Linked DNA regions of Oryctolagus cuniculus. The protein of the gene in region 2 interacts with the protein of the main gene of each other region in a biochemical or structural test. Links are inferred from orthologs where the notes say so. Each region holds a gene or a part of one and is shown on either strand. Other genes may lie near its edges.

Region 1 (10,338 bases), on a different chromosome or scaffold from region 2:
TAGTGGGGTTGCTTAAAGCAAAGCATAGAAGATAATAGATTTATTGAAAACCTGTGGGGGCTGATGTTGTGGTGGAGCAGGTAAAGTCACTGCCTGCAGCACCAGCATCCCATATGGGTGCCGGTTGGAGTCCGGGCTGCTCTACTTCTGTCCAGCTCTCTGCCATGGCCTGGGAAAGTAGTACAACATGGCCCAGGTGCTTGGACCCCTGCATTCACATCGGAGACCTGGAAGAAATTCCTGGCTTCGGATTGGCCCAGCCCTGGCTTTTGCAACCATTTGGGGAGTGAACCAGTGGTGGGAGACTCTCTCTCTGCCTCTCTAACTCTTTCGAATAAACAAATAAAAAAAAAAAAAAAAAGGAGAGGCCCCCCCCTTCCCCCTTTTTCTGTAAGCAAGCCTGAATTTTTCTTTCTTTTTTTTTTTTTTTTTTTTTTGACAGGCAGAGTGGACAGTGAGAGAGAGAGAGACAGAGAGAAAGGTCTTCCTTTGCCGTTGGTTCACCCTCCAATGGCCGCCGCCCCTGGCGCACTGCGGCCGGCGCACCGTGCTGATCTGATGGCAGGAGCCAGGTGCTTCCCCTGGTCTCCCATGGGGTGCAGGGCCCAAGCACTTGGGCCATCCTCCACTGCACTTCCGGGCCACAGTAGAGAGCTGGCCTGGAAGAGGGGCAACTGGGACAGAATCCGGTGCCCTGACCGGGACTAGAACCCGGTGTGCCGCCGCCGCTAGGTGGAGGATTAACCTACTAAGCCGCGGCGCCGGCCCCTGAATTTTTCTTAGATGTGAAAATAGTGAGTTGGACTGTTGCTTGGTAACAAAGAACCGAACGCAATGATGAGTGAAGTATAGTCTGACCTGGTATTGCCACTGTTTCAAAGTTGGCTTTGACCAGGGTATGATCCCTTAATCTTCTCTCTGAGCTGATTCTGGTTGTGGTATTTCCACACAGATGTATTCTAACCTATTTGGATACTGGTTTTATTACATGGTAAAAGTGTTTCTGTGACACTCCTTTGAATTACTGATACTTTCATGTTTTCTTCCTTCCTTAGGCTGTGGTGAGAAGTCTGGCTCTAAAATCTTCGTGGAGAACTACATCATTTCAATCCTGAATCTGGTTCAGTTTCTCTATTGACTTACTGTTGTATTAAAAATGTATTGCTAAATTAACTCTGGTGTTTGTTTTGGTATAAACCTTTCAAGTTTGGGCCTTTGTTCTGTGGCACAGTGGGTTAAGCTGCTGCCTGAGATGCCAGCATCCTATGTGGGCGCTGGTTCCTGTCCCGGCTGCTCCACTTCCTATCCAACTCCCTGCTAATGGCCTGGAAAAAGAAGATGGCTTGAGTGCTTGGTCCTCTGCCACCCACATGGGAGACGTGGATCTGGCTTCTGGCTCCTGGCTTCAGCTTGGCCCCACCCTGGCTGTTGGCGCCATTTGGAGAGTGAACCCATAGATGGACACTCCCTGTCTCTCTTTCAAATAAATCTTTAACAAAAAAACCCGTACAAGAAGCTTAAAATCCATTATGCTCTTACAGTAGATAAAGGCTTTAATATTTAAAATCTGTAGGATATCCCATTACAAAATTTAGCTTTATATTCTTTGTGCTATCAGAAAATGTCTTCAGAATTGCTGAAATTAATTAAAAAAACTGTCTTGGCAAAGACAAATTATTTTCATTGTCCTATTGGTTTTTTTTTTTTTTTTTTTTTTTTTTTTGACAGGCAGAGTGGACAGTGAGAGAGAGACAGAGAGAAAGGTCTTCCTTTTTACCGCTGGTTCACCCTCCAATGGCCGCCACGGCTGGCGCACCGCACTGATCCGAAGCTGGGAGCCAGGTGCTTCTCCTGGTCTCCCTTGCGGTGCAGGGCCCAAGCACTTGGGCCATCCTCCACTGCACTCCCTGGCCACAGCAGAGAGCTGGCCTGGAAGAGGGGCAACCAGGACAGAATCTGGCGCCCCGACCGGGACTAGAACCCAGTGTGCCAGCGCCTCAGGCGGAGGATTAGCTTATTGAGCTGCAGTGCTGGCCCGTGTTTTTTTTTTTTTTTTTTTTTTAACCCATGTTTACTGCAACCTGCCAATGCAGTGACATATTTTTTATATAAGGAATTTAAGCGTTTCTGATAATAAGGCTTAATTTTGAGTATTGGAATAAAGTTTTTTACTTATATGAAAGATTAAGACAAAGAGATCCTCTGACTACTGATTCACTCAGCAAATGCCCACAATAGCTTGCCTTGGGCCAAGGAGAAACACAGAGCCTAGAACTCAATCTGGGTCTCCCATGAGGGTAGCAGGGACCCAACAGAGTCGTTCTCTGCTACCACCCTGGGTGCATATCAGCAGGAAGCTGGAGCAGAAGTGGAGGAGCTGGGACTCAAACCAGGCACTCTGAGGATGAAGGTATCCTAAGTGGTGTGGCAACTGCAGCATCCAGTGCTTACCTTCTGTCCCAATTACTGGATTAGCGAAAAGCAAAAATTTGAATCAATACACAAATACCTCAAAAAGCCACAGTAGTATGAATGAAAATTTATTGTAAATACCTCAAGTAATCTTTTAAGTTTACACATTATCCTGCTAACATGGAACAGTTCTTTGTTAGAAACATTCTTAAAATTGATTTAAATGTTTTAGTAATAGCCAGAATAATTCATGCCAGTTTAGCAAACTCTTAATAGCAAGCAGAAAAAGCTTATTAAAAGATCCTTTCTTTACACAGTTAAGTATTTTACTTCATATGTTTTTATTAGCTTTGCTTTCACACTGACATCTTCAGACTATGTTTATGTAAACAATCTCTGTTTTAACCGGTTTCCCAATAAAAGACATGTATGGCTCAGAAAAGAATCTTAAAAATCTGATAAACTGTCCCAAACGTCACTGGGTCACAGTGTACAGCAGGAGCATTGTTCTGTAGTGCTCTGAGTGTTTCTGTGAAGAGCAGGTGCACATTTCACATTGTTTGGTAAAACCACCACTTCAGGAGGCAGATAAATGCTTTCTTTTACCACCCACTTCATGAAGTCTAACCTGAGTTTTTTCCTGAGAACTTCTATTGCTCTTAATTTAGAAAAGGATAGAAAAACCTTCCCCTAGTTATCCTTATATCCCCTGCCAATCTCAAGTCTCCTACTTAAACCAGCTTGGTCATTTGTAAGTAGGGGTCTAGAGAGTAGACTAAACAGTTAGGATCAAATGGGTCTGTCCTTTTAAAAAGAGATTCTTACAGTTGTTTGAAGTTCATAGTTATCAGTTGAGGCTGAGAAGAATGTGCTATGTGCCATTCTGAAAACCAGCCCTGGGGCCTTGCAGTGCAGCCCCTAGGAAGGAAGGTGCTCAGTCCCTTCAGTTCTCAGGGGAGTACAGTTTGATCAGATGTTGTACTTCGGTAGGATAGCCTGTGATGGGACAGGCTTGGTGACTCCTCACATAGTTAAACACACAGCGGTAACAAAACACATAGCCAGATGTGGCAAGAACGGTATCATTCACTCGGGTTTTACGACACAGTGGGCACACTGTCTTCAATTTAGGTAACAGAGGGGAATCAGAGTTGTAGTCTAGGTGTACAGGGGGTGGTGGAGTAGGCAGGGCAGTCAGTGATTTGATGGTTTCTTGATTTTCCGATGAGTACCACCAGTCCAGGAACTGCAGGAAAAATACGCCCACAGAAAGGCCAGTGGAGAGGGATATGGCCACGCCCCCCACAGCTTTCTTTAGAGTGGACTTAATCTGCTCACTGATGCTGTTGGGAGAAGAACAGAGGCAAAGAGACTTTAGGCATAATCACTGAGTGACCAACAAATGCAGTGATCACAGGTTTGGCATTTGAATAGGTGTGAGATTGGCACTTCCTTAAGGATCCATCCTAAGCAATCCCTTTCTGATCTTAATGTTTGAGGGGTACAGAATTTAAGCTTTGTTTTTAATGACAAAGGGTCAGGGTTTTGTTTTGAGGAAGAAATTAAGTGGAGAATTTTTCTATGGAAGATAATGCAACCAGAAAAAGAAACAACTAACACATGAGCTCAGCAGCACTGAGCAATGTGTACCTTTAAACATGTAGAATACACAGTAGCTAGAAGTGACACAGCATCAAAGAACACAGCTGTTAGAACTGTACTGCCGGCCAGCGCCGCGGCTCACTAGGCTAATCCTCCGCCTTGCGGCGCTGGCACACTGGGTTCTAGTCCCGGTCGGGGCGCCGGATTCTGTCCCGGTTTCCCCTCTTCCAGGCCAGCTCTCTGCTGTGGCCAGGGAGTGCAGTGGAGGATGGCCCAAGTGCTTGGGCCCTGCACCCCATGGGAGACCAGGAGAAGTACCTGGCTCCTGCCTTCGGATAGGCGCGGTGCGGATAGGCGGCCACTGGAGGGTGAACCAACGGCAAAGGAAGACCTTTCTCTCTGTCTCTCTCACTGTCCACTCTGCCTGTCAAGAAAAAACAAAAAACAAAAAACAAACAAAAAACAAAAAAAAAACACAAAACCTGTACTGCCCTCACCTGAATCTCAGCTCTGCAACCTTCCAGCTATGTGGCATTGGCAAGGTAGTCAGCTGTTATGGATTAGTTTCCTCAACCTCATTGGTTTGTGATGAGGATTGAGCTAACAGAAATGGACCTTGTATGATAAAGGTGACCAGGATGTTGGTCCTTGTTTTAAGGACAAATAACTTTTCTATGATTCTCTCAAATAACTCAAAGGAGACAGGGTGGTAAATTTCCTGAAACTGGGAATCTTAGAATTTATTAATCAAAGCTTTTCTTGAAATGTTAAGGCCTTACCTCTTTGCCGGTTGCTGGATCTTGCTGGCTTCAGCCAGTTTGTGCTCCAGAGCTTGAATATCCTGAACCGTCAGTCGACCTAGCCGAACGCCAGCCAGCTGCAGCAGCGGCGAGTGATGCTGAGCTTTCCCTAGGATGTAGCGAAGCTGCTGTACGAGAAACCAGCCCTCCCATGCCATGTTAACGAATGGATAGGCTGCCAGGAAGGCTCTGTAAAACCGTTTCCAGTGAGAAGAAGGGGGATGGATGGAATATTCATCCTCTTCTCGCAGGCTAGAAACCAGCTTCTCCAGCTTCACTTTCAGGTATGGAAGAAGAACCAGGAACATGACCGATTTCCACAGCTGCTGCCTGGGGAGACCAGCACTGGCCAGCCGCTGAACTGCGTGTGTGTCTCGCATGACAATCCTCTTTAAGCCATAAAAGTTTTCAGAAAAGGAGGCACTGGTTTTAGATAGATAGTGCTGCTGAAGCAGAAGATCCAGCAGAGTAAAGATCTCATCAAACCATCGCCACAAGAAGCCATAGTAGGCAGGGTTTGATTCTGCAAGAACCTGAGTCAAAGTAAATGGACAGGTGAAATTAATTCCATCCCACACTACTGAGCTTTTTATTTAAAATTATCTTTTCCCCTCTGAATTCTACACACTTTCAGCTTAAACAAGTCATTTGGGTCCCACCCTAACCTCCCTGAAGTGCTAAGTATTCAGGTATTCAGTACAGAGCTTCACCTAGAACAGTGACTCAGTAACGTCTAAGACATAGGATATGAATTCTATGCAAATTGGTTATTTCAAACCCGAGGCTACCAAATAAACACAACTCACTGGGTTGGTTTCTACCCACTGGTCCTAAGAACCTTCCGAGAATACCTTACCTTGACCACGTGCTGAAGCGCAGGTCTCACTGCTGTCATTAAACTGTCCTGTGCTACCACCTCAAAGATGGAAGGTTGGTCATCGGCCACAGAAGCAGTTGTGATGTGCGCCCCGTGCTCAGCCATGGTTTCCCCACCAACTCTCTCGTTAGCATGAAAATTTTTTCTTTTTGTATCAAATGCTCAGTCTTAAAGGTAATCTTTCTGCGTAATTACTCCAAACTCCAGTTTTACAGGCAAAATTGAACTGGAGAAAATAGACCCAGAGGTGAAGAGAGGGGGCAGAGGAGAGGGGTCTGAAACTGAGGTCAGGAAAGACGTTAACTCGGACCTGGTTTGTGGAAAGGGGTATGTGGGGAGAAGGTGACTTGTCAAATGCTGCACCCCACAAGGCAGAACATGATTTGGAGGGACAGCTACGGGCGAAGGAGCGCTGTCCACGAGCGGGGTCCTGGAGCTGCGAACCCGGGACCCTCAATCGCGGTGGCTCAAAATCTCGCTGGCTGGGAAGGATCAGGAGAGCCAACGCGGGCCGGGGACGCGACGGCCGGCTCCAGCTGCGGGCTGGGAAGCACCGTCGCCCACGGCCGTCCTTGCGCGCTGACCGCGGGCACGGAGGAGCCCCCGACACCACGCTTGAGGAGAGGTCTCCGCTTTATGACAGAGCCGCACCCGGAAATGGAAACCTCCGGGACCCAGCGGAAGAGAGGCGCTCTAGGCCCGCAAGAGGCCCTGACACCGGAAGTTGGGGACTCTATGACCCCGCCGCACTTCCGCCGCCGCCTCGCTGGCTTTAAAGGAGGCGCCCGCTGACTCTTCTGGGCGCCGACTTGTCGACTGTGTTGCACTTCCTTGCAGGGTCGGCAGCGTAGCTTCGGTGGAAAACCGTCGCTCTGAACTCTCTGGAGCCTTTCTGACGAGGCGGTTGGCGCCACGCCCGGAGCCGGAACCTGCTGCTGAGCTGGGTGTTGGCGCAGGGAGAGGGGCAGGAGAAGCGCCGGCGCTTTCCGCTCTCGCCTGGGCGGAGGTGGTTAAGGGCGTGGGGCCACAGAGCGGGAGAAGGAATCTTACGTGGTCGGTAGCGATTATAAAGAAAAATTACCAGGACGACGAAGGGCCTGTTCGTCAGAGCCCGGCACGGTGGCTTTGTACGCGGGCTGGCAGCTTAACTGGCTTCCAGGTGTCCGTTAGATTCAAGCGTACCCTGGCCGCGGACGCGAACGGGGCTGACAGACCTGCCTGGGTTTCCGTCTGTATACCCAGCTCGGGTCTGCCTCACGACTGCAAACTACAAAGCCCATTCAAGTTTGCATCGTTTGAGTCGCTGGTACAGGTGTGTTGGAGTTTTTTTTTTTCTCCAGATGTACTGGAGTTTCGTTAATTTTTTTAATGTTTTTTTTTTCCTCCGCCCCACCCCCCTCAGGTGTAGCCTCTTCCCCACCCCTGGGCTAAATAGCTAGAAATAAAAGGTATTATTCACTGCGCTAAGGACCTCACGGCATAAAGATAAACTGGTTTGCATGAGAACTCTGAAATACAGAGTTTGCGTTTAGTTTGTTTCAATAGGCGAGAAATAATTCATGCACATTGCTCTTAATGGTAGTTTTAACATGTATCTTTTTACTCTACCAAAATACCTGTCAAAGACACACATGGGATCATGATTTATATTATATACAGACTTACCAAACAGGAAAAATACAAAAGAGGAATAGCATCAATTAAAAAGTGGGGAATTAGGCCGGTGCCACGGCTCAATAGGCTAATCCTCTGCCTGTGGCGCCGGCACACTGGGTTCTAGTCCCGGTCGGGGCGCCGGTTCTGTCCCCGTTGCTCCTCTTAAGGTTCAGCTCTCTGCTGTGGCCAGGGAGTGCAGTGGAGGATGGCCCAAGTACTTGGGCCCTGTACCCCATGGGAGACTAGGAGAAGCACCTGGCTCCTGGCTTCGGATCAGCGTGGTGTGGCGGCCTTGGGGGTGAACCAACGGAAGAGGAAGACCTTCCTCCTCTCTCTCTCTCACTGTCTACTCTGCCTGTCAAAAAAAAAAAAAAAAAAAAGGAAATTAGCTACATATAGTAACAAAAAGGCTAATTTAAATACAAAGTTTTTTTTAGGAGTTTATGAAGTAGCTCAGGAAATAAGAAAGGCCATCCCTGACAGAAGAGGATCTGTAGCGTCCTTTTTCTTTAGCAGGAATTACCAGAGCTGTGTCATTCAACCGTGGAGGATGAGACCTGTCTCTCATGTTCTCACGAATGCTGTTCAGCCAATTTTTGTTTGTCATTGTGCTCATCACTCAAATTCCAGTGAACCAGTATCTAGATTCACGTTTTCTTTCTACAGCCACACTCACCCAGAGGAGGGCAAGGCATGTTTATTCATAGTGGAGGCTACCCCAAAAGTAAACACGTTATTACATGAGAAGAGGCATTTAAAGGAATATGTCCAGTATTAGTCAACAAACCTCATGAAGGATCCTATTCTCTGTAGTGTAAAGGAGATAAGATGCTCAAAAAGTGACTGCCCTCAGGTTAAAAGGCAGCAAGAGCCGTGAGATATATTAATTTGGCATGAGTTTGGAGAAGAAATATCTACCAACTGGGAAAAATAAGGCAGTTCTAAATCTGTTGAACAGAAGGCAAATATATTGTCCTATGTAACCAAGCAATGGGAAGAACAGTGTTTCTGACCTCAGCTTCTCCCTGGCAGGTAAATACAATGACGTGACCCAGTATCTCCTGGACTCCATGTCATAACATGTTCACTTAAAAAGTTCAGTGGCTACGTTAGGCCTCACAGGATGAGTACATCTCGGGTAATTCACAGCAGTGGTGAAGGCCTTCCCAGGGTAAGGGAGTAGCAGAGAGTGAGTATAGAGAGGAAATTTGTTTTCTTAAAACATAAAGCAATAGGACTAGTAGAGGTGTGCTGAGAAGTAGATTCAGGTAGTTTTAGAGGGCTTAGATGCTAATTTTAGACCTTATCTGTGCACACTCATCCACCTATTCAGTATCTATCGAGGACCTTCTGTGTGCCAACCATTATGTTCAGTGCTGGGCCCCTCAATTTTAAACATTTTTTTTTTCTGGTGACATCTTTATGAAATCCACCTCTTTCTGCTGAGAGTTATACCTGGAACCAATTTTTTCTAACATTCTCCACCCACTTATGATTTGTTTAATTTTAGTAGGTCGTAAATATAGAATTAACAGTTGGTGTGGTTAATAATTGAGTGATGAAGTTTGGGGATAGATCAAGGATACAGTTAGTTATATGAGTACAAAAGATAGTTAAGGGCTGGTGTTGTGGCAGAGGAGTAATGCTGCCTCCTGGCATCCCATATGGGTACCAGTTCAATTCTTAGCTGCTCCACTTCTGATCCAGAAGCTGCTAATTGTGTGTGGGAAAGCAGCAGAAGATGGACCAAGTGCTTAGGCCCCTGCACCCATATGGGAGACCAGGAAGAAGTTCTTGGATCCTGGCTTTGGTCTGGCCCAGCCTGGACCATTGCAGCCTTTTGGGAAGTTGAATCAGTGGCTGGGCTGGAATTCTCTCTCTCTCTCTCTCTCTCTCTCTCTCTTTCTCCATCTGTTCCTCTCTCCAACTCTGCCTTTCAAAGAAAATAAAATCAGTCTTAAAATAGTTAAACCCATGGTATTGCTAAAGGGTTAGTGTGAAAATGTATGACTGTAGAACTACAAAATATCATTGCCATTCTCTCCCTCAAATGCCACCCATTTTAAAAATATATATTTATTTGAAAGGCAGAGCAACAGAGTGAGAGGGAGAGAGAGAATCTCCCATCCACTGGTTCACTTCCCAGATGGCTAAAACAACAGCCAGGACTGGGCCAGGCTGGGCTGGAGCCAACAGCCAGGAACACCGTCTGGGTCTTTCACGTGAGTGGCGAGGGCCCAAGCACTTGGGTCATCTTAAGCTTCCTTTGTAGGTGCATTAGCAGGAAGCAGGATCTGAAGTTGGGCAGCTAGGACTCAAACTAGCACTCTGATATGGGCTGCCATTGCCACGCTACCCTCTCAGATACCTTCCTATATATCTTCCCTCTTCATTCATGCTTTCTTAGGCATTATCCATAACTCTTTATTCCTCATCTCCAATTCATCATCAAACTTCTACAGCATGGCTTATGTTTTCCCAGCTCTAGTGATCACAGCAATAATTTCTAACACAGTGTTGTTGAATACTGTGGTCACTTTTCAGCCCTTCCTTCTCATTATAGCAACTGATATTGTTGACCACTTATTCCTAAATATATTTATTCCACATATACTAACATACATTTCTGGGGGAGGCTAGGCCTCAGGGATACAAGAGTGAACAGATTGGTTTATATTCTACTTTCATGAAACCCTGAAAACATCCTACAACATCATAGCCTCCTGCTTTTCCTTCTACCTCTTGGATTATTCCTCAGTTTTTTACCACTCAGACATCTTCACCCGAACTCATCACTTCCCTATCATTCCTCAAACCTGCGGCATCTATTTTCAGTGACTAGAGCCACAATTCAATCCTTGACCAAACCCAGAATGGACATTATATTCCTAGTGTCAGACTTCCTGGGTTCGAATCTTAATTCTGCCATGCAACCTTCCTGGATCTCTGTAAAACAGGGGCAGTAATAACTACCTGGTTATCAAGTTGTGA
Region 2 (8,638 bases):
CTGCTATGGCCTGGAAAGGATTAGATGGCCCAAGTCCTTGGGCCCCTGCACCTGCATGGGAGACCAGGAAGAAGCTCCTGGCTTCAAATCAGCCCAGCTCCAACCATTGTGGCCATTTGGGTAGTGAACCATTTATGAAGATCTCTCTGTAACCCAACTTCTCAAGTAAGTAAATCTTTAAAATATAAAACTCCAAGAATAAAAAATAAACATTGGCTGAATCTGAGTTGGGTTCCAAATATGTACCAGGCACTGGTTGTGCAAAAAAAGCATCCTCCTGGGCACTTTCATGCTACCGAGAGCAGGTGAGGCATGTGAACCCGGAGCTGTGCCTTAAACCAGGTGCAAACTCGGTTCTTACGCATTTTTTTTTAAAACATTTATTTATTTATTTGAAAGTCAGAGTTACACGGAGAGAGGAAAGGCAGAGGGAGGGAAAGAGGGAGGGAGGAGTCTTCCATCTGATGGTTCATTACCCAACTGGCCGCAACGGTCAGCACTGCACGGATCTGAAGCCAGGAGCCGTGAGCGTCTTCCCAGTATCCCACGTGGATGCAGGGGCCCAAGGGCTTGGGCCATCTTCTACTGCTTTCCCAGGCCATAGCAGAGAGCTGGATGGAAGTGGAGCAGCCCTTGAACCACACCCATATGGGATGCCAGTGCTTCAGGCTAGTGTGTTAACTCGCTGTGCCCCCCCCCCCTTTTTTTAAGATTTAATTTACTTACTTGAAAGAGTTACAGAGTGAGACAGCTTCCATCTACTGGTTCACTCCCTCAAATGGTCCCAACATTGGAGCTGGGCTGGGCCAGGAGCCAGGAGCTTCATTCAGGTCTTCCTTGTGGGTACAGGGGCCCAAGGTCTTAGTCTCTTCCAATGTGATGCTCTTCCCAGGCCATTAGTATGGACTTCGATCAGATGTGGAGCAGCTTGAACCGAAGCCCACATGGGACGCCGGCACTGCAGGCAGCAGATCTACCCACCATGCCACGCAGGCCCTCATAAGCCATTTATTCAGCCAGACTTCGCCCCTTCCTGTGTGTGTGGCGTGGAGCCCACGCCCTGCGCCTGCTGCCTCACTCCCAGGCCAGTGGCCATGCTCCACCACTCTGCGGAGCCCAGGACCCCACTGCCCTGGGGTCACGGCCGCCACGAAACCACTACACATGCGCTAAGAAAACTCGGAAATTACCCAGAACTATGACGGGAAATTCACACCTAACTGTCACACGCTTACTATACCAGGAATACTCCTTCTGCCTTTTCAACACATGGTTTGCAAGGTAACCTTAAGCAGTTTGCTAACCTTTTCCCCTCATTGAAGTTAGCATCTACTGTCACTGGGAACTGTCCCCTAAATATCAGCAGCTATTTTATCTGCTATCTGGATAATTTGCTGACCCAGTTCTGAGTTTTCTTTTTTTCCTATTCTGATGTGGCCATGGACACCTATCTCCAAAATATTCATACTGATAAACACATAAATATTTGCTTGCAGTTTAAATGTTTTCCTTGGAATAGATTTCCATGTTGCGAAGGCTCTTTATATAATTCCTGACAAGACAGGCAAAGCCCAGTGAAACCTTTAGAAGCCTGAACACTGGAAACAAACTATCAAAACCAACGCACATAATCATAACAGAAAACAACCCAATGATGAGACAGCTCTGTGGAGTCTCCTTTGCAGGGGGAACTCAAGTGTAAAACTTCACCATCCGCAAACATCTGTGTCTCCTGCCAAGCCCGAGGCTCCAGGAGCACAGTGTCCTTGTCCGTCTTACCCGTCGTACCCGCACACGTTAGGTGCTCAGTAATTGCTGGGTAGATGGATGGGTGATCAACATGCCAATGAGAACTGGAAAGATGAAGACCAACCCACTTCCCACCACCAACTTCAGCAGAATTCATATCCACATTAGTTCCATTTATTCTTCATACAAATATTTTACAGTTTTATTTTTAAATCATTTACACATATTCATACAAAGAAAAATAAATTTCAGATGGAACCTGGGGCCCATGGTAGTTTAAAAAAAATCTCTCTGATCATTAGCTACTGAAGACAAGGCGGCAGGAGGCTTCGCAGTCACTGCCAGTGGTCATGCGTCTCCCCACGCAGGGCCGGGTGACAAGAATCCAGGCTACCTCGGCTTCCCTCCATCTTCACCTTGTGGAGGTAACATGAGGGGAGGGGGCTTGTCAACCCTCTCCCCCTGGAAATATTTCAAGAAGTATAGCAAAGGCTTATGGTAATACTGAACCCCCTCTCTGCTAGGAATTTGGCAAGATTACAATTTCTGAACCAACTTTCTAGAAGAGTTGGCCTGATTCCTACTCACAGTTCTTCCTAAGAGGGACTGCTGCATTCACCACGCTCCTCATCCCACTCGCTCCGTCCTCCCACCAAAGGCTCCAGGACGGAGTCCCTGATCTGATCCCATCAGTCCCCTATAGGCTCGTCCCCAAAATGAGCCTTCCTCCTATCCCACACCCAAACGCTCTCTGTAGCAACTGACCCAGCAGCTCCAGAGGAGCCCACGGGAACTCCCCCAGCATTACTGCAGCAGCATCCTATCAGGCGATCTAACTCACAGCCATGAGGTCCAAGAATGACAGAACTCTGTGTGCCCCTAACACAACTCCACTCTCCTCAGCCAGCTGCTAACATCCCATCCCGGAGTCGACGTCAGAGATGCACGATGAAGAACTGCCCACACACAATTGCCCAGGAAGGCTGGACTGTTACCAACTTCCAACAAAGCGGGGGAAAGGACAGACATGACAAATGTGGTGGACCCCACAGACACGGTGGCTGGTGACAGCCATCGGGTCCTACCCAAAAAGCAGCACCAGGAGAGGGCACGGTGAGCAGAGAGAGACCTGGGGCTGAACGTGCAGTCCCTGAATCACCAAAGGACTCAGAGACAACACAGTTCCTTTTCCCACGATTACGCAGGAACGACACGTGGACTCTGCACCCCTGCTCTGAGGCAGCTCCTGAGAGGCTGTCCCGCCAGCGATCATCAGCCCACCCCCTCGGTAGGCCCATTTGGGGGGAGGGAGTCACATCCCGAGCGGGGACCCCTCCAGCAGACACTCACAGGGCAGCCCATCCCACTGTCACTGGGGCAGGCCAAACATAGCTAGGAGGGCAGGCAGGTCCCGGGCATCAGCCGCCCCGTAGGCGTCACTCTGGCCCAACATGGACAACGCCAAACGCAGGGTGCTCCAGATGTTCTCGGACATGGCACCCCCTTCACCTCGAGGGCCTCGGCTTTTCCTCTGCATGTTCAGGGCCTCCAGAAAGTGTTCCACTGCCTCCCTGTGGGGAAAGGAGGAATGACCGCTTGTGAGCACAATGGAAGCAGGCAGGTCAGGTAGTCTTGGGAGACAGAAGGCTGCGAGGCTAGTTAGGATCAGAGGACGAGGGGCTAGGGCCAAGGCAGGAGAAACAGTGCGTTCATCCATTACTCCAGAGGTACTCTCACCGGTGAGCCCCAAGATTGATGCAGCTGATGCCCAGGTTATAGCGGGACCGGATATAGCCCGGCTGCAGTTCCAGGGCACGGCGGTACGCAGCCACGGCTTCTTCACTCTGGTTCCCATTGGCCAGGGTGGCCCCTAGCTTATTCCACAGCAAGTAGTCCTGGGAAAGGAGGGAGAAGGGGTTGGGAACATACAACTAGTGTGAGATCAAATTCTGCCCATTCCTCCACCTGCTCTGTTTAGCTAGCACATGTGACTATCCCATCGTGCTTCCTCACTGTGGCCACAGTGTAACCTCGTAACCTCTCCCTCCCCAGGCAGACTCCCTATGCCCAGATGACTCTGCACCCCCACCCTTCCTTCCGAACCCTCCCAAGGCAGGCAGTGCATGCAATGCTGGCCCATAATTATCTTGTGACTCCAAAATGCACAACAAATGGTCCTCCAGTAAGATACAGGGTCACATCCCATCCCCACCCCTGGCCTGAGGCTCACATCAGGACGCACGCTGAGGGCGGCTGTGAAGCAGTCCACGGCCTTGTCATACTCCCCACTCAGGTTGAAGAGGACTCCCAGGCCACACTGCACGTCAGGGTCGATGGACGTCGGGTCCAGGCGCACAGCTGCCAGGAAGAGCTCTTTCACTTCAAGAAATAGGGAGCTAGATGAGGAAGCACACACACCCCAAAACAATGTCAGTCCCCAAACAGCTCCTAAAAATTAGTCAATCACAGCCCCAGAATTCATCAACGTATCAGCCCTCCCTGCTACTCACAAACCCCAACTTAGAAGCCCATCTTCCTGTTTCATCCCAGCAGTGCACTGGGTACACGCAGACCTGGGCCTCCCTTCCCCCTCCTAGACCCTTGAGTCCCAGTCTGTCCAAACTTCCAAAATCAAGGCCACCTTCCTCCTGAGGCCCAGTTTCCAGTAATTAACCGTGCCAGGAAGCCCTCACACTCACTCAGACAACAGAGATCCCAGGAGGCGCTTGCTGGGACCCAGTCCTGCCCCGCCAGCCCCTTCTTCACCAGGCGCTACCAGATGTGCATAGGCTGGGGTGTAGCGCAGCCAGTCCCGCAGGGTCTCACAGGCCTGGCGCTGGAGGGACTCGTTGGTGAAGCTCACGGCTAGCGCCATCAGTGCTGTCCGGTTGTCTGGCTTTAGCTCCAGGCACCTGTTGGGCAGAGATGAGCACACTTGGTACCTGCAATGACACCGGCACCCAGCAGCAGTCTGGGATCCAAGCCAGATTTCGAAATGCAGTCACGACGGCTTCACCTGCCCAGGCTCCTCAGATTAAGACACAGAAACCTTCCGCCGTGAGAGCTAGTCACTTACAGGTCTAAGAAACGCAGCGCTCTAGCAGCGAGGGAACCCCAGAAGCCGCACTCTGGGCCTCAGTGCTGAGGAAACACTCTCGCCATCAGCCAGGGACACAGGGGCCAGGCCTGCGCTCCCGGCACCTTGGAGACCACCTGCAGAGCCCAGAACCACCTCGCTCCCACCCTCTGCGCACTCACCTCCGCAGCGCGCTGATGGCGAGGAGTTCTTGCTCGTTCTCTGCCTGGGTGGTGCCCAGATACTGCCACGCCTGCAGGGAAGTTGTCAGCTCCATCACCCTTCTGGTCTGCTGTCCCTCGTCCCTCCCCATCTCCCCCTAACCCCCATCCTGCCCCATGTGCACTCTGGGGCCGCCCTGAGAAGTCCTGTCTGAACTCGGGGTGAGCCACCCACTTCCATGTGCTTAGGGTCCTGCTGCACAGCGGCCTCGAAGAGCAGCACGGCATTCGGCAGGTCCCCTTCCTGAAGCCGCCGCAGCCCTTCTTCAAAAGGCTGAGGGTGGTCGCGCAGGGGGTTCTCTTCCTCAAACTGGTACCCCTGCAGGGAAGCAAGCACATGGGAAATGGTCTGAGAGGGAGCCACCCGGACCACGGCAGCAGGCACGCAAGGACGACAACCAGGGCAGAGCTGGAAAAGGCGGAGGCTTCCACGCAGGGACCAGAACCAAAGGCTGGCAGAGTCTCTGTGCTGGTCTCACAAAGACCACCCAGGACGACAGAAAGACCACTCAGCCTCACACCCGGGCTGCCAACTCCCGCTCACAGTAACCGGCTGCCAGGCAAGCCTACAGACTGCTCCACACTGGCAGCAGGCCTGTCATTAGGAAGTCCTCAGGCGCCCACAGTGCTACCTCGTTCGCTGACTTTTTACTCTACGGCAGAACAGGTTTCTTAGTAGGACCTGTTGAAAGGAATGAGATAAACCCTCCTTAGCTGTTCTAAGCGCACTTCTCGTTATTCCTAAATAATGCGATAACATAAAAAGGAAATGAAATTTGGAGTCAGAAGCTCTGAAATTCAAATGCAACTCTACCTGGCTCCCTGGGGTCACTGTGTGCACTAAGATGCATACAAGCACTTCAAAAACCTTAACTTATTCCAATTGCATTCTTTTCTCCCGCCAATTTCATTTTTAATAATTCTGAATATTAATCTGTGACCTGAACAGAAGTCAGAACTCGCTCCCAAAACACGTCTACAAGACACTGTCCTCTCCCAGCTGAGGATCTGTCATTCAAGAGAAGAGTTATGACGCCAAGAGTTTCGTCGGCTGGCACTTCAGCAAGGGGGGTAATAAGGTAAGACGCAAATCACTAGGAAGCCCTATGTCTTGGGACAAGTAAATAAAATGTTCCTTTTGCAATGAGTAAATAAATTCCATCACAAAGCAATATACCACAAGATATAAAATATTTCTAAGTCTGGTAAGGACAAATTAGAATAAACGAGGCCTGGGGCCAGGGCTGTGGCGCAGTGGGTAAAGCCGCCATCTGCAGTGCCAGCATCCCATGTGGGCACCAATTTGAGTCCTGGCTGGTCCACTTCTGATCCAGCTCTCTGTTATGGCCTGGGAAAGCAGCAGAAGATGGCCCTAGTCCCTGGGACCCTGTACCTAAAGAAGCTCCTGGTTCCTGGCTTCGGATTGGCGCAGCTCCGGCCGTTGCAGCCATTTGAGGAGTGAACCAGCAGATGGAAGACCTCTCTCTATCTCTGCCTCTGCCTCTCTGTCACCCTGCCTTTCAAATAAATAAATAAACCTTAAAAAAAAAGAATAAACAAGGCCTTTTTCATTTTTATTGTGAAATGTAAAGAATCAGAAACACACCCCATCAGCAACACTCTAAACTCTCAGAAGTAAATTGTTTGTCACAAAGGAAAACTGGACAGCTACCCTGGGAGTATAGGAAGGGAGAGAGATACATTATAGGAGACAGATCTGAGCTAAGCATTTTATAAACAGTATACTCGTGAAAAACAGTCAGGTTCTTGAGACATCTCTGTGCAGTTTAAAAACTCGGAAGGCAGAAAACGAACCTACTCCACGGATCAGCAAACTTTTTCTATAAAAAGACCTGCTTCGCAGGTCTGCCGCAACTACTCAACTCAAGCGTCACAGCACGCGTGCACCAGACAGCACGTAACCAAATAAGCATGGCTGCGTTCCAACCAAACTTTATGGACACTGAAATGTGAATTTCATAATTTTCATGTGACACAAAATATTGCTTTTTTCAACCATTTAAAATCATTCTCAGCTAATGGCCATACAGAATGAAGTATCAAGCAGATTTACTCCAAAGGCCAAAGACTGCCAACCCTTTATGAGAATCAGTAACATCAATCCTGGGGCAGCACTGTGGCTCAGTGGGTAAAACCGCCGCCTGCGATGCTGGCATCTCATAAGGGTGCCGGTTCTTGTCCCGGCTGCTCCACTTCTGATAGAGCTCCCCACTAATGACCTGAGAAAAGCAACAGAAGATGGCCCAAGTGTTTGGGTCCCTGCCACCCACTTGGGAGACCTAGGTGAAGCTCCTGGCTCCTGCTTTTGGTCTGGCCCAGCCCTGCCACTGCATCCAGGGAGTAAACCACCAGATAGAAGATCTCTCCCTCTCTGTAACTCTTTCAAATAAATAAAGAAATCTTAATAAAAAGTAAATAAAATAAATAGATCATTCTACCTCATCTACTGCCCAGCATTAATCCATGCATTAAACCACGCTGAAAGAGACAGATTACTGTCATCTACAACATAATTTCCTAAGGAACGTAATTCCTGCCTTTCAGAGCTACTAACATGATCAAGTATGAGATCCACACTTTTTGAAAGTATTGACATATAACTAGTATTATTTAGTGTAAAGCCAATAGAAAGGATAGCATTTTTTATGGAAAATTAATGCAATTAATGTTTCTAATCCTAACTATTCTAAGGCATAACCTCAAACAGGGTTTAAGAATCTACAAACATAATTTTTAACTAAAAATTATTCTGCATGTCATAAATGTAACTGTAATACCAGTAAATAACAGGAAATGCTGTGTATACGAAATTAACATTTTGTCTACGTTTATCAACAGCATGGACATTTTTATGTAAAAGGTACAACTTGCCACAAAGTCAATGAGCTCTATGAAGCTTACCAAACTGTCAGTAAATGAAGACTGGATAAAGAAATCATGGGATATGTCACTATGGAATACTACACAGTGGTTAAAAAAATGAAAAATAAAAAAAAATGAAAATCAGACATCTACAATAAAGTGGATGAATCTGGAAAACATCATGCTTAGTGAAATAAGCCAGGGACAAAGATCACATGTTCTCTCTGACCTGTGGTAACTAATAGAGCACCTAAAAGGCAAACTGTATACATGAAATTGACACTTTGAGAAGCAATAGCTAGAACAGCCATTTTGTTTTGACTGTTGAGGAACAATTTTGGGTTTTTTTATACTATTTGTTGAACTCTTTAATTAAAGTTAAACGTGTGTATAAAGTCAATTGAAAATAGATCTCAGTAAAAAATAAGAGTGGGAATAAGAGAGAGAGGAGGAGGAGGGTTTGGGAGTATGGGTGAGAGGGTGGGCATGGTGGGAAGAATCACCATGTTCCTAAAGTTGTAATTAGGAAGTGTATGAAGTTTGCAACTGTAAAGCTGTATAGTTCTGCATGCATTCCTAAGGACTTACTTCTAAAGGTACAATTTAAAAACTTGCCATGGAACCCCAAAGACCCTTAAGCTGGGTGGTAAAAATACCATCTTAATTGTTAAAATGATCATATGGATAAGATTAAGGGTCTGGTAAAAAT

The links. The genes of interacting proteins can lie anywhere in the genome.
Region 1: the proteins of PEX5 (region 2) and PEX12 form a complex in vitro, tested with the Homo sapiens proteins (2 studies listed by BioGRID). The link is inferred for Oryctolagus cuniculus from reciprocal best matches to the Homo sapiens genes PEX5 and PEX12.

What each region holds. Positions count from the first base shown.
Region 1 is NC_091448.1:39,036,361-39,046,698, reverse strand, and holds PEX12 (peroxisome assembly protein 12), read right to left. Parts: upstream 6,404-10,338; 5' UTR 5,797-6,403; coding exon 5,671-5,796; intron 5,348-5,670; coding exon 4,794-5,347; intron 3,756-4,793; coding exon 3,356-3,755; 3' UTR 2,525-3,355; downstream 1-2,524. UniProt on the Homo sapiens protein: Component of a retrotranslocation channel required for peroxisome organization by mediating export of the PEX5 receptor from peroxisomes to the cytosol, thereby promoting PEX5 recycling.
Region 2 is NC_091440.1:102,353,281-102,361,918, forward strand, and holds the end of PEX5 (peroxisomal biogenesis factor 5), read right to left. Parts: intron 5,366-8,638; coding exon 5,222-5,365; intron 5,079-5,221; coding exon 5,008-5,078; intron 4,662-5,007; coding exon 4,449-4,661; intron 4,146-4,448; coding exon 3,980-4,145; intron 3,645-3,979; coding exon 3,487-3,644; intron 3,321-3,486; coding exon 3,119-3,320; 3' UTR 3,100-3,118; exon of another isoform or gene 2,166-3,099; 3' UTR 1,908-2,165; downstream 1-1,907.